Linked DNA regions of Caenorhabditis elegans. The protein of the gene in region 1 purifies or fractionates together with the protein of each later gene. This does not show direct contact. Each region holds a gene or a part of one and is shown on either strand. Other genes may lie near its edges.

The links.
Region 2: the proteins of nspg-13 (region 1) and Y48C3A.20 fractionate together in Caenorhabditis elegans (co-fractionation; one large-scale study listed by BioGRID). This does not show direct contact.

Annotation. Positions count from the first base shown.
Region 1 is NC_003284.9:5,253,221-5,257,486, reverse strand, and holds nspg-13 (DUF19 domain-containing protein), read right to left. Parts: upstream 2,294-4,266; coding exon 2,242-2,293; intron 2,181-2,241; coding exon 2,056-2,180; intron 1,829-2,055; coding exon 1,776-1,828; intron 1,727-1,775; coding exon 1,572-1,726; intron 1,137-1,571; coding exon 1,019-1,136; intron 971-1,018; coding exon 825-970; intron 769-824; coding exon 740-768; 3' UTR 632-739; downstream 1-631. Other genes in the region: nspg-12 (DUF19 domain-containing protein), read right to left, coding at 1-94, 145-178; nspg-14 (DUF19 domain-containing protein), read right to left, coding at 2,520-2,536, 2,588-2,730, 2,790-2,907, 2,959-3,050, 3,101-3,163, 3,419-3,539, 3,589-3,687.
Region 2 is NC_003280.10:13,367,804-13,376,046, reverse strand, and holds the start of Y48C3A.20 (tRNA pseudouridine(55) synthase), read right to left. Parts: upstream 6,441-8,243; coding exon 6,297-6,440; intron 6,250-6,296; coding exon 6,155-6,249; intron 6,093-6,154; coding exon 5,990-6,092; intron 5,506-5,989; coding exon 5,282-5,505; intron 4,114-5,281; coding exon 3,954-4,113; intron 2,448-3,953; coding exon 2,162-2,447; intron 1,338-2,161; coding exon 940-1,337; 3' UTR 1-939.

The sequences.
Region 1 (4,266 bases):
TCAGATTTGAGCTGTAGCCCGCAACACTGAAGTAAATCTGGAGTGCATGTACCTGTAGTTGAAGGAGCGCATGCACAAAAAGCTGTTGGTGCTACTGAACATGCTTAAAAGGTCAATCAATCTGGGGGTACATTTTGAACTTACTTGCCAACACCGCAATCAATACATTCAACAGCATGTCGTGGAACGGAAAAGCTAGGGAAATGTTTCATTTATGGGATTAAGAATTGCAGTCCTTATCAGTTGAAGTGATTATCAATAATCCTGTACGCTTAAAAGACATTGATTATTGCATTAAATGGGCTAAGCGGAAAAAGTATTTTCGGAACCTTGTATTTGAATTTGACGGTGAAATTTTAAAACGAATGAAAAAAAAACTAATTTTTTATTTCAAATATTGCATAATAAGTAAAACAATTTATAAAAGATACACAGTCAAAAAATAGTTTTTTTTCAATAATAATTTGCTTATAATCTGTTGTCCTACCAAAATGTTTAATATACCAAATGTTGAAAACGTCCCAAAAAAGCTATTGGCAATATTTATTTCAAAACCCTTTTTTCAAAACTTTTCATGAAGTTCCCCATCGCCACACCAATAGATTGTCATATACTATACCGATGGCATTTTCTCAGTAATAAAAATTTATTCTTATCACAAATGATAATACATAGTTAAGATTGAATGACAAAAAGTTAATAATTTGTTTGTATCTGACATCATTTCGTTTTATTCGACTCATCCGATGATTCCTCCGCTATATGGCACTGCAAAAAAACAAAATCAATTTTACTAGATTTCACAATTTTCAAGTTTCACTTACAAACACATCTAGCTGCACATTGAGGGAATCGAGTAAAAACATTGACTCTTGAGTATTCACAAGCCCAGAACATGGCATCGTTTGATTTTTCACCACAGTTGTTTTTGAACTGAGTTTCGAAGCAAATCAAGTACTTATTGGCTTGTCTGTAAGTTTGGTTGGCGTTTTTTAATAATACCCGATGGTCTTCTTACGTGCAAGCCTGATTTGCGTCAACGTCACTGTTCACCTCATAATCTAGTCGGCATTGTCTCAGGACATCACTTTGGCTTCTCCAAGTAGTTGACATACAGCCCTCATTAAGGAGGTATGCTGAAATGAAGAAAGTTACCTCGTTACGGTTGGAATCCATTAGTCTGTATAAGGCGCTATTTTTGTGTTAATCGATTTCTGATCTCTGAGCAAATTAGGAATTTATAGTAAATGCGCAGCCGACTTCGGTTGTGGTCAGCGATGGACCTATTTCCCATGTATATCATATTTTCCTGCGTCTCTTGAATGTTTTTTTTAAACCTAATATGTGCTAGTATTCATGCCTATTCTAATCATAACTCAGAAATTCCTCTAAGAGTCTCATAATGTGTATAAATTACCACAGCAGCAAGCCCCAGAAAGTTTGATTTCGACACTCCCCGTGTTTTCCACCTATTCTAGAAACTTCATACCATGCCAAAAAGATGTGTAATTGTGTACTCAACAAAATTCAATTCCGACATCGCGTCGGGAAATGACAATAAAAATTCATACTTTGCAATCCAGCTCCACAGACAAAGTGCATTTGGTTGAACAGTCCAACAAATTGATAAGCGTTGAATGGAGTGGCCGATACAGAAACAAAATGGACCGCAGACATGCAGTTCGCGTATTCAGAGCCCATGCAAACTTTAAACTCGCGGAAAGCTCTGGAATTATATTCAGGATTCGAGAGAGAGTATCTAGTGAAGTACTGACTTGCAAACTTTACGCATTCCACTGGGTCCTTGAGCCTGGTAGTTTGTCTCCACCTAAATTTAATCAATAATTGTGTTTTGCTCTTTTTTCTGATAATCAAAAAATCAGATTATAATACAATCATGATGACATAATTAATCCCATTGACTTAAAAGTTATCATCGACACGTTCTAAACCTCACATTTCACATTTCACTATGCACACCCTTCGTCATATCACCTTATTCAGTTATCATTTCATGGAATGGCAAGCGTGGAAACTATTGTATTAAAAACTTGCCTCCTTGCGGAAGTTTTCGGGGTCAAACCATGGCTGTGGGTCGCTGATGCTCAAAACCGCATTGAGAGCAGTTTGGCACTCAAAATAAACCGTCGAGTCACAGTTTAGACCGGCTGATTGGACTCCTGGAATAAAAAAATAAGATTAAAACAAATATTTCACAAGTTTTAATTTCAATTTACTTACCTGACAATCCAAGAATCAACGCAAGAAATGGCAAACACCGGTCTTGCCACATCTGAAAGCATAATGTGAGCACAAATATGTATTTTTAATTTTGCAAAAAAAAACACACACACACACAAAGTCAGAAGTATTCAATGCATTGAAGCATTTCAAACGAAAACAAATTTTTGAAATTAAAAAATTATGAATTAAATTACATAGATTTATTCCCAAAAATGTGAATTCAAATAAAACATTTTGACCAAAACAAAAAATGGAGATGATTAAACAAAAGACGATCAGACGCGTTCGTGGACTGAAAATAAAATAAACATTATTTAAACCCCATCCCATTCTGAAAACCTACATGTGCAGAAAATCTGAGAGCACTGTGGGAAGAGAAGATTGGTACCGGTACGCTCGTAGTTGCAACCCCAGTAGGCCATCTCTGGCTTCTTACAAGCGTTCCAGAACAGTTGGAAGTAGCAGTTGGCTGCGATCTCAACGTATCTAGAAAGTTAAGATTATTCATTATTCTTTTTGATTGGAAACAAAACTTGAAAACTTACGCGCAAGCTTGAGCTGGGTCAGCCATGGACTTCACGTTGAAGTCATTGTCGCACTGTCTCATTGCAGCTGTCTGGTTGTTAAAGACAGAAGAGCCGCAAACTTCAGAGTTGGCAAAGACTGAAAATTCAATTCTAGTATTCAGTATTACAGTATAATTGCTAATCTTACTCGAGAATCCAGCACCACAGACAAAATCAAGTTGGTTCCAGATTTTTACGTATCCATTAGCCTGATCCTGTGTGAGTGGGGCGCCGTTGTTGCTGAAGAACAGACAAAAACTGTTACAGTATATATTGAATTGAGAACTTACTTGGTTCCAGTTAGAAGACCGTATGGGTTCTGAGCACATGCGTAGAACTGTTCTTTTGGTTGGCTATAAATCAGTTGATTTGAGATGTAAAAATTAAAGGATCAAAGGGTGTTCCGTTTTTAAACTCCCACTAGGCTTTAGTTTCAAGCCACGAGCCATTAGTGGATTCCTCTAATTCCCAAGCTAGGTTGGGTGATCCTAGGGAAAGGCAGGACTTGAACTAGTGGTCTCATGATTGCTTGCGATCACCACACTACCGACTGAGATATTCCCGTCGCACATTGTGAATCTCACAACATTGCAAACTATGTCACTTACTAGCACTGCTTGTACTGCTTGAAGGCATCGCAAGTTGTAAGAAGCCCGTATGCTTGGTTATTGGCATACGACTGCTCAATGGCACTTCTCAAGTCTTGATATTTGGCAGCACCGAGAGAAGCTGAAACACCAAAACTTTTGTGCTTAATTCTATTTTTCAGTTTCATTACCATCAAATCCCAAAAGTTGATTGAACTGACTCTGACAAACATTTAGCTGGTTATTGATATCGCATGCCGTTAAACTTGGGTTTTGTGCCGCCACAACGCCTGAAACTTTTCATTGGTTTATTTTTTAAGGTCATGTCTCTCAGTTTTTTCCCAGAACTTCTAATAGGTTGAAAAATAATCGAGCCTGGAATGTTTGGTTTCTAAAAGTCGTATCCAGTGCCACCGTACATTTTCTTTTTGATAAGAAAATGCCCGCCGCTAGTTGTGACGCAACTAATACCAACAATCACATTAGATTTAGGAAATTACAGTAGTCTAATACTTGTGCAGATTTCATTTTGGGAACGTTCCCGATCTTGCAAAAGTTACTTAGTCATAATAGTATTTAGGCGTTACCGGGCAACACGTGGAATTTTTCGTTATCAAAACTGATGATAAGTAAGCAAAAGCAATCCGGTTAGTGCAAGACTTAATTCTGCCAATCTAATAACTGTGGAACGGTCTTGTTTAGTTTTGAATACTTGTAAATGATGGGGTAAAGGCAATGAGAATGCGAGAATCAGGAATTGAACGAAATTTTGAAAAAGAGAGTGCCTAGATAAATCGTTGTGAGCAATTGACATTTGAACTATGAATTTTTGAAAAATCGGTAATCAAATAAATAGTGCCTAGTTTTTA
Region 2 (8,243 bases), on another chromosome or scaffold:
ATTTCAAAAAAAGTCGATTTTATTTGGAAATTTTATAGAAAAATTTAGGAAAAACCACCAAATTTTGCAATTTTAACTCAAAAATCTGCCACAAAAAGTTCAGAATTTCACGTATTTCACCATTTTTTTTCGCGAAAATTCGTAAAATACCGCAATTTTCACCGAAAAAATCCGGGGTTTCACAGGATTTCCATCAAAAAATTGCTTCAAAATTGCGAATTTTTGGACCAAAAAATGCCGAAAAAGTGAAATTTTGTTCCGAAAAAATGGATTTTTGCACATTTTTCAAGCTTAAAAACCGAAAAACGCCGGCGATTCTAGTCAGAAATAGGATTTTTTGGGAAATTGAGAAGAAAAAACGAGAAATTTTGGTGAGAAATTAGGAATTTCGAGCGTTTTTTTTTCAAATTTTGGAAAGAAAAATGGCTTGCTCAATTTCAAACAAAAATCAGATTTTTCGGAATTTTCTTTAAAAATTCAAGTTTTTTGGTAAAATTAATAGGAAATTTCGTATTTTTTCTTTGAATTTTTAGAAGAAAAATGCGTTAAAACTGAATTTTTTGTGCGAATTTTTTTTCCAATTTTTCTAGAAAAATATCTAATCTTTCGGAATTTTCTGTGAAAAATTCATATTTTTTCTGTAAAATTACTAGGAAATTTCAGATTTTTTCGCTGAATTTTTTAGAAGAAAAATGCGTTAAAAATGAAGTTTTTGAGCTAATTTTTATTTAAAAAAACCGAAAAAATCTAGATTTTTCATAACTTTTCTGGAAAAAATCCAAAAAAAATTTGAAAATTGAAAAATCCTATAAAAACCAAATTTTTCTGAATTTTCAGATTTTTTTTGAATTATCAGGAAAATTTTTTTTTTTTTGCCCTTTCAAACATTTTTCTCAAAAATTCAAAATTTCTGTGCGAAATTTTCAATTTCAATATTTTCTATCGAAATTTAACGGGCTCCTGTCCATCCTTAAGCTCCGGTGGCCATTCCAAATCAACTTTCTCCACATCCAGCTCCAAAATATCAACTTCTCCGTGCTCAACGTCAAGGAGCTCGGCAAGCGAAGGCCTCGTCCTTCCAAAATCTCCGTGAACAAATTCCTTGATATATGTTCCTGCTTGGGTCTCGAGACGAACTTCAAAGTGGTGATCGTCCAATTTTAAGAAATTCATCGAATAAATCCATCGTTCTCTGTCGAGTAGAGCTCGACGCTTCATCACACGAACTGGCGTCTTTTGAACAATTTTCAGCGGGATTTTCGATTGAGCAGCGGTGAATTGGGAGTCAGAAATTGGGAGAATACTGTAGCAGTAGGCACAATATTGCTTTCGTTTGTCTGCAAAAAATTTTGAGATTAGGCATTATTTTAAAGGATTTTTTTTCTCCATTTTTTTGGTAAAACTCTAATTTTTTTTGTAAAATTGATATTTTTGCTGAAAATTTGGATTTTTTTTTTACAGAAAATTTCATAAATATCTGCAAATTTTGGGTACAATCCGTATTTTCGGCAATTTTCCAGTCCAAAATGCTCCAAATTTTCGGATTTTCTTAGTTTTTTTTTTCTTGTTTTCCAGAAAATCGTTCAATTTCTCCGACTTTTTTGGGTACAAATTGTCGGTTTTTCTTGAATTTTTTGCCGAAAAATCCCTGTTTTCAGCTATTTTTTTTTGTCCAAAATGCGTTAAATTGTCGGATTTTCTTGGTTTTTTCCTAGTTTTTACTAGTTCAATTTTCTCCGACCTTTTTGGTACAAATTGCCGATTTTTCTGGTTTTTTTTGTTGAAAAATCGTATTTTCAGGTAATTTTTAGGCCCAAATGCTCCAAATTGTCGGATTTTTTTGGTTTTTTTTGCTAGTTTTCCAAAAAAAAAAAAGTGCAATTTCCTCCGATTTTTTGGGTACAAATTGTCGGTTTTTCTTGATTTTTTTGCCGAAAAATCCCTGTTTTCAGCTATTTTTTTTAGTCCGAAATGCTCCAAATTTTCGGATTTTCTTAGTTTTTTTTCTAGTTTTCCAGAAAATCGTTCAATTTCTCCGACTTTTTGGTACAAATTGCCGATTTTTCTTGATTTTTTTGCTGAAAAAATAATATTTTCAGCAAATTTTCAGTTCAAATTGCTCCAAATTCCATTTTCTGTTTCCATAAAATTGTGCATGCACCTTCTTCTCCAACACACAGCTTCTCAGAAACATCCCGTGGAACTCTGGTCAGCGACACGACTTTCACATCCTTCTGTACATTTATAGCCTCCTGAACCGTCTTCAGTGTCTCCAAATACTTGATTCCTCTCACTGGAGCCGTCGTTCTACAATTTCGGAGCTCAACGACAAATGGGCGGCCGGTTCCGAGCATTCTGACGTCAATATCCTCACGTCCTGACGTCACGAATCGACTATCACTGGCTCCGAATTGCTTTTTCAGGAGGTCACACACTTTTTCGGAAACCTGCAAAAATTTCGAATTAAAAATTTTTGATTTTTTAGGGGAAAAACTCAAAATTTCAATTTTTTCGATTTTTTTTTTGTAAAATTTTGATTTTTTTTGTTGGTAGAACTCCCCATTTTTCATATAAATGTGAAAATTTTTCCGGATTATCGCGATTTTTTCAGTAAAATTGACATTTTTCTTGAAATAATCGATAGTTTTTAGGCAAAACTGTAGTTTCCGGTAAAACATTCGATTTTCCTGAAAATTTCGATTTTTCGTCAAAAAATTTAGTTTTTTTAAAAACTTTTTTTTTTGGTAAGAAATGATTTTTTTGGTAAAATTTCGATTTCTTCCAAAAAAAATTGGTATTTTACTTGGAATTTTTGAAAAATTTCGAAATAAATTTTATAAATTCCCTAAAAACTAAAAAAAAACCGATTTTTTTGGAACTTTTATAGAAAAATTTTTAAAAAAGAAAAATTCAATTTTTTTAAATTTATAGAATATTCTAGAAATATTTCACCGAATTTTTGCAGAAATTAGGGGTTTTTTTTTTTTTTTTTCTTGGAAATTTTCTTGAAATTTTGCTCAGAAAACTTGAAAACTCAAATTTTTTTTAGATTTTTGAGGGGTCAGAACATCAGAATTTAATTTTTTTTTTAGTCAAAAAAATCTTAACTTTATTTTGCAAAAAAAATTCACATTTCTAGATTTTTTATTCGAAAAAAACTGAAATTTCCGAATTTTTTTTTCCAAAAGGCCAGAAAATTCAAAAAAAAATCTGCATTTTTCCCAGAAAATTAGGGGAAAATGAAATTTTTGTAGTAAATTCAGAAAAAGCAGAAATATTTCTTTAGAAAATTCCATTACAAATCTGAAAATGCAGATAAAAAATTGGAATTTTTTGATTTTTCCAAAAAATTGTCCCGGAAATTTGGCAGGATAACTGGGTTTTCTTCAATTTTTCGCCTGGAAATTGTCGAAAATGTGTCTAATTTTGGCCGAAAAACATGAAAATTCTAAATTTTTTAGAGATTTCCGTGGATTTTGGGTAAAAATTTTGATGTTTTCTAGATTTTTTCATTAAATTTATGTTGATTTTTTATTTCAAAAGCTCCAGAAAAAAGGTTTTTATAGATTTTTTAAAATTAAACAAAAAAAAACTTCAAAAATTGCATTTTCAGAGCAAAATTTCATTAAACAGTCGAAAATTTGTTGAAAAACTCGCATTTTTTGGGTAATTTCATTTTAAAAAAATCCGGGAAAAATCAAATGAGATTTTGTCGATTTTTTTTAGTTCTAAAGGCTCGAAAATTAGTTGATTACGCTGAATTTTCAGCTTTTTTTGAAGAAATTTCACCGGAATTTTATGAATTTTCCGATTTTTGAAGGTTATTTCTAGATTTTTTTCAAAATTTAAATTCCAGATTTTTCAAGTTTCAAGTGGAATTTTCTTCAATTTTCCATCAATTTTCCATCAATTTTCCATCAATTTTCCATCAATTTTCCACTCAAAAATCGAACCGAATTTCCGGGCTCTCTCGGAGCATCTTTATCCTCACTCCACGGTGATTGTGGTAGACATCTTGAATATTTACAATATCTTCCAGCAATGTATACTGGATCTCGTTCGAATTGAAGTTGAAATGTGCATTTACGGGTTGGCGATTTGAAGATGTACTTTCTGTAGAGAAAATATGGATTTTTTTGGGGAAAATTGGTGAAATTTGGTGAATTTTAGGTCGAAATCGTCGTGAAAATTCAGATTTTTTGACGTGAAAATTTTCAAATTCACACAATTTTTAGCTGAAATTCAGATTTTTTGGGGAAAATTGCGGAAATTTGGAGAATTTTATTAGGTCGAAATCGTGAAAAAATTGCGGGAAAATTCCGATTTTTCAACAAAAAAATCGGATTTTTTGGATTTTTTGTTGATAAATTTTGGAATTTTCGCAAAAAATTCGGAAATTTCATGTAAAAATTGTCTTAAATTTTCTATTTTTCGCTCTAAAATGGGCCCTTAACGTTAAATATGAAATTTTCTAGAGAAAATAGGCTTTTTGGGCTGAAAATTCGGTCGAAAATCGGCAAAAATTGGAGTTTTTGGCAATTTTTAAGGCAGTTTTCGATTCATTTTCCAACTTTTTATTGATTTTCAGGGCATAAAATTCTGAAAAACTGCAATATTTGACAGGTTTTTGCCTGAAATTGTGAAAATTCGGAGAAAAAAAAGGAAAAATTGTTTAAAATTTGAAAATATTGATTTCCGCTCAAAAATGCATTTTTCTAGTTAAAATGTGGGGTTTTTCCACGATAAATTTGGAATTTCCGTTAGAAATTATATTTTTTCTTGGAAAAATGGCTTCAGTATTTCAAAATGTAAGTTTTGAAGGTAGAAATTGGAGTTTGAAGCAACAATTTTTCAACATTTTCCAAGTTTTTATTGACTTTTGAGGGTATAAAACGTTGGAAACTCCGAATTTAGCGAAAAAAATTGGTTTTTTTTTTTGTTTAAAAAAATAGTTTTTCTTGTTCAAAAATTGTAAAATTCAGTGAAAAAAGGATTTTTATGTGGGGTTTTCAACGATAAATTTGAAATTTTCCGTTAAAAATAACGAACAAAGAGTTTTTTTTTGGAATTTTCATCGTTTTTTCGCCGAAAAAATAGCTAAAAACTTTTAAAATTCAAGTTTTGAGCTATTTTTCAGACAAATTGTGGAAAAATAGCTTCAAAATTCAATTTTTAAGCTGAAATTTGGTCCAAAATCGAGGGTTTTTGACATTTTCCAACTTATTAAACCCATTTTTTGTGCAAAATTTCCTATTTTCTCGTCGGTTTCCACCGCTATTACTTTGCAATTTGCTCGTTAATCCTGCCAGTGACCTGCTGTAATTGCTGTTTTGATACACTCGACGGCGCTTCTTGATTATTATTATATCTTCCACGTTTTCCAACACGAAAATCGTTCGGAAATTGATTTTGAAGAAATTGTAGATCCGAAAAATTCGATTCCTCCTGCTCAAAAGTGATCATAAGCTGGAGATCTGAGCTCAGAGTTGGTCGTTTTCCGGAATACTGCAAATTTTATTAATTTTTGACTCAAAAAACTCTAAAATTGGAGTTTTTGGCAATTTTTAAGGCAGTTTTCGACATTTTCCAACTTTTTATTGATTTTCAGGGCATAAAATTCTGAAAAACTGTAAAAAATTTGAAAATATTTCAAAAAATACTATTATTCTGCTCAAAAGTGCAAAAAATGTGTAAAATTTAGCTAAAAACGGATTTTTTTTTGCTCAAAAATGCATTTTTCTACGATAAATTTGGAATTTCAAGTAGAAAAATTCCAAAAATGCGATTTTTCATATTTTTTCCTAGAAAAATGGCTTCAGTATTTCAAAATTTAAGTTTTGAAGGTAGAAATTGGAGTTTGAAGCAATTTTTCAACATTTTCCAAGTTTTTATTGATTTTTGAGGGTATAAAACGTTGGAAACTCCGAATTTAACAAAAAAAAATGGATTTTTTTCGTGGAAAAGTCGTTTTTAGGTAATTTAAGCTTACAGAGCCCAATTTCTTCAAATATCCATCAATATTTCGCACTTTATACGGAACAGAAGCCAGTGTCCCATTGAAATCCGGTCGGAGACGGCTTACTAGAATCTCCCTGTCAAAAATTTAAATTTCGAGTTTTTGGCGGCGGAAAATCAACAATGATTCTAAAATCACCTTAAAGTCTGTCCAACGGGCAAATTCAACGCCAAAATGAAGCTCATCGAGTCGTAGGGCAGCTTGGAGAGCTCTTCTTGCACTTTTTCGCCGACCTGAAGCATTTTTATGGATATTTTGTATAAAAATCGTGAGTTATAACCTCATCAATCATTGCCTGATCCATAATCCCGAAGCAAAGCTGACATTCGAAAGAATTTTCGCATTTTGTCACTTCCTCCGCGTCTCCAGAGATTTGTCGCACGCAAACTTCGCACAAAACTAGCGGAGTTTTGTCATTTGACATCTGAAATGTTGAAAATTAAGTAAATTTATTGAAAAAACAAAAAAAAATCGAGAAAAACCGAGCATTTTGAGGATTATAATGAGAAAAAAGAAAAAAAAACTCGAACAAAGAGGAAAACACAATAAATTCGAGATGTGTGCATTTGCGCGTCACGGTGTATGCACAGAAATGTCTGCCGTCTCTTCAATTGCCACACTGTTTCGTTCAGTTGCGAATTCAAATTGATCCACAATGAAACATTTTTTGCAATTTGGAAAATATTTATATGGAAAAATATAATTCATAAATTCGCAATTCTCCGAAAATCATAATTAATGTTCAACTAATTAATTAGTCTCTATAGAGAGGGGTCCATGGAGAGGTCAATTTTCAATCGAGTTTTCCCGCACAGCTACTGTTGAATTCTTGTATAGACGGCGATATCGTCATTCGATTTCATGCCACATTATGGACGATGGCACATTTCATCTCGAATTCGGAACGTTTGACGGTAGTCGAAGAGTTCCAACATGTGAATGGAAAATATCAAAAATATTTGGCACGCGAGGATTGATAGATCATTTGATGCAGTTGCTGAAAATATCAACAGTTCATATGGTTGATATTGCCGTTACATTGCAACTCACTTTCTAAAGTTCACGCAAACAAACTTTGATGGATTGAAAGTTGAAGAGGTAACAATTGACGGAGCAACTAGGATCAATGAATTACTTGAGAAACTGCCTCACGTGGAGAATGTATCATTGTGGTCTGAGGACGAAACAAATGTAACAAGACAAAATTTAGTTGGACTTCAAAGCGTTCTTCGTCTTTTTGTATACATTCCTGTAACACTAAATGATTTGCTAGTAATGGATAACCCTTCACTTAAATGCGGGAAAACAATTTTGTCTGAAAAAGATTTGACTTTAATAATCAAACACTGGAAAAATGGATGGAATCCAGGGTTAAACTTCCTGGTCTATAAGTTTGAAAGTCAATCGCCGCACTCGAACCCATCCTCAATCATGAAAGATTTATCTGAGAAAATTGTATTAGAAAATGGTGAACCAGCTTTTATAATTCAAAACATTCATGGAACCACACGAATGGTTGAATTCAGTTTATTTGAAAGAATGATGGCGGGATACGTTGCAGTTCGTTCAACACTTCCTACTTATATCAACTAATATTAATGTTTACTTTTGTTTTCAATCTGTTAATTATTTTTCATGTATTGCATTCTCTTAAATGGTTTAATAAATTCTGATTTTTAAAAACAGTTTGTACGTCCCTGGTGTTCAATGTGTTCAGTCGGTACCAGTGTTGCCAGTCATTCTTATTCTCTCCGAGCATTTGAGATCGATATTTCATCATTCTGATATGTTCAAAATACATGGTCCAAAAACAGTCAACTTAGAGAAAAAGCTATCAGAATTGCCACTGAAATGGTAAAAATACAACAATTTGTATAATAACAAGATATTAAAATTGGACAACTTATATATCGCCAATTTAATTTTCTGGAAACCTCCCTAATTCTAAAATTTTAAAATAAAATACATACGAATCATCAACGTTTCCTTTTTGCTCAATTCAAATTTCATAACCAACAATATTTAATTTCCGTTTCCACCCCCACCACCTCGTTTCCGGGCTATTTTAAATCGTAAGCTGATCAAAAACCACTAGGTGATAAGGTTTTTAAGGCTGAAAATATTTGTATATTTTCAGCTCCAAAATAATAATATTCCAGATTGTGTTTGCTACAGAAACAATACCGAGAAACGGATGAAAAAACTATGTTTTGAGGAAAAACAACAC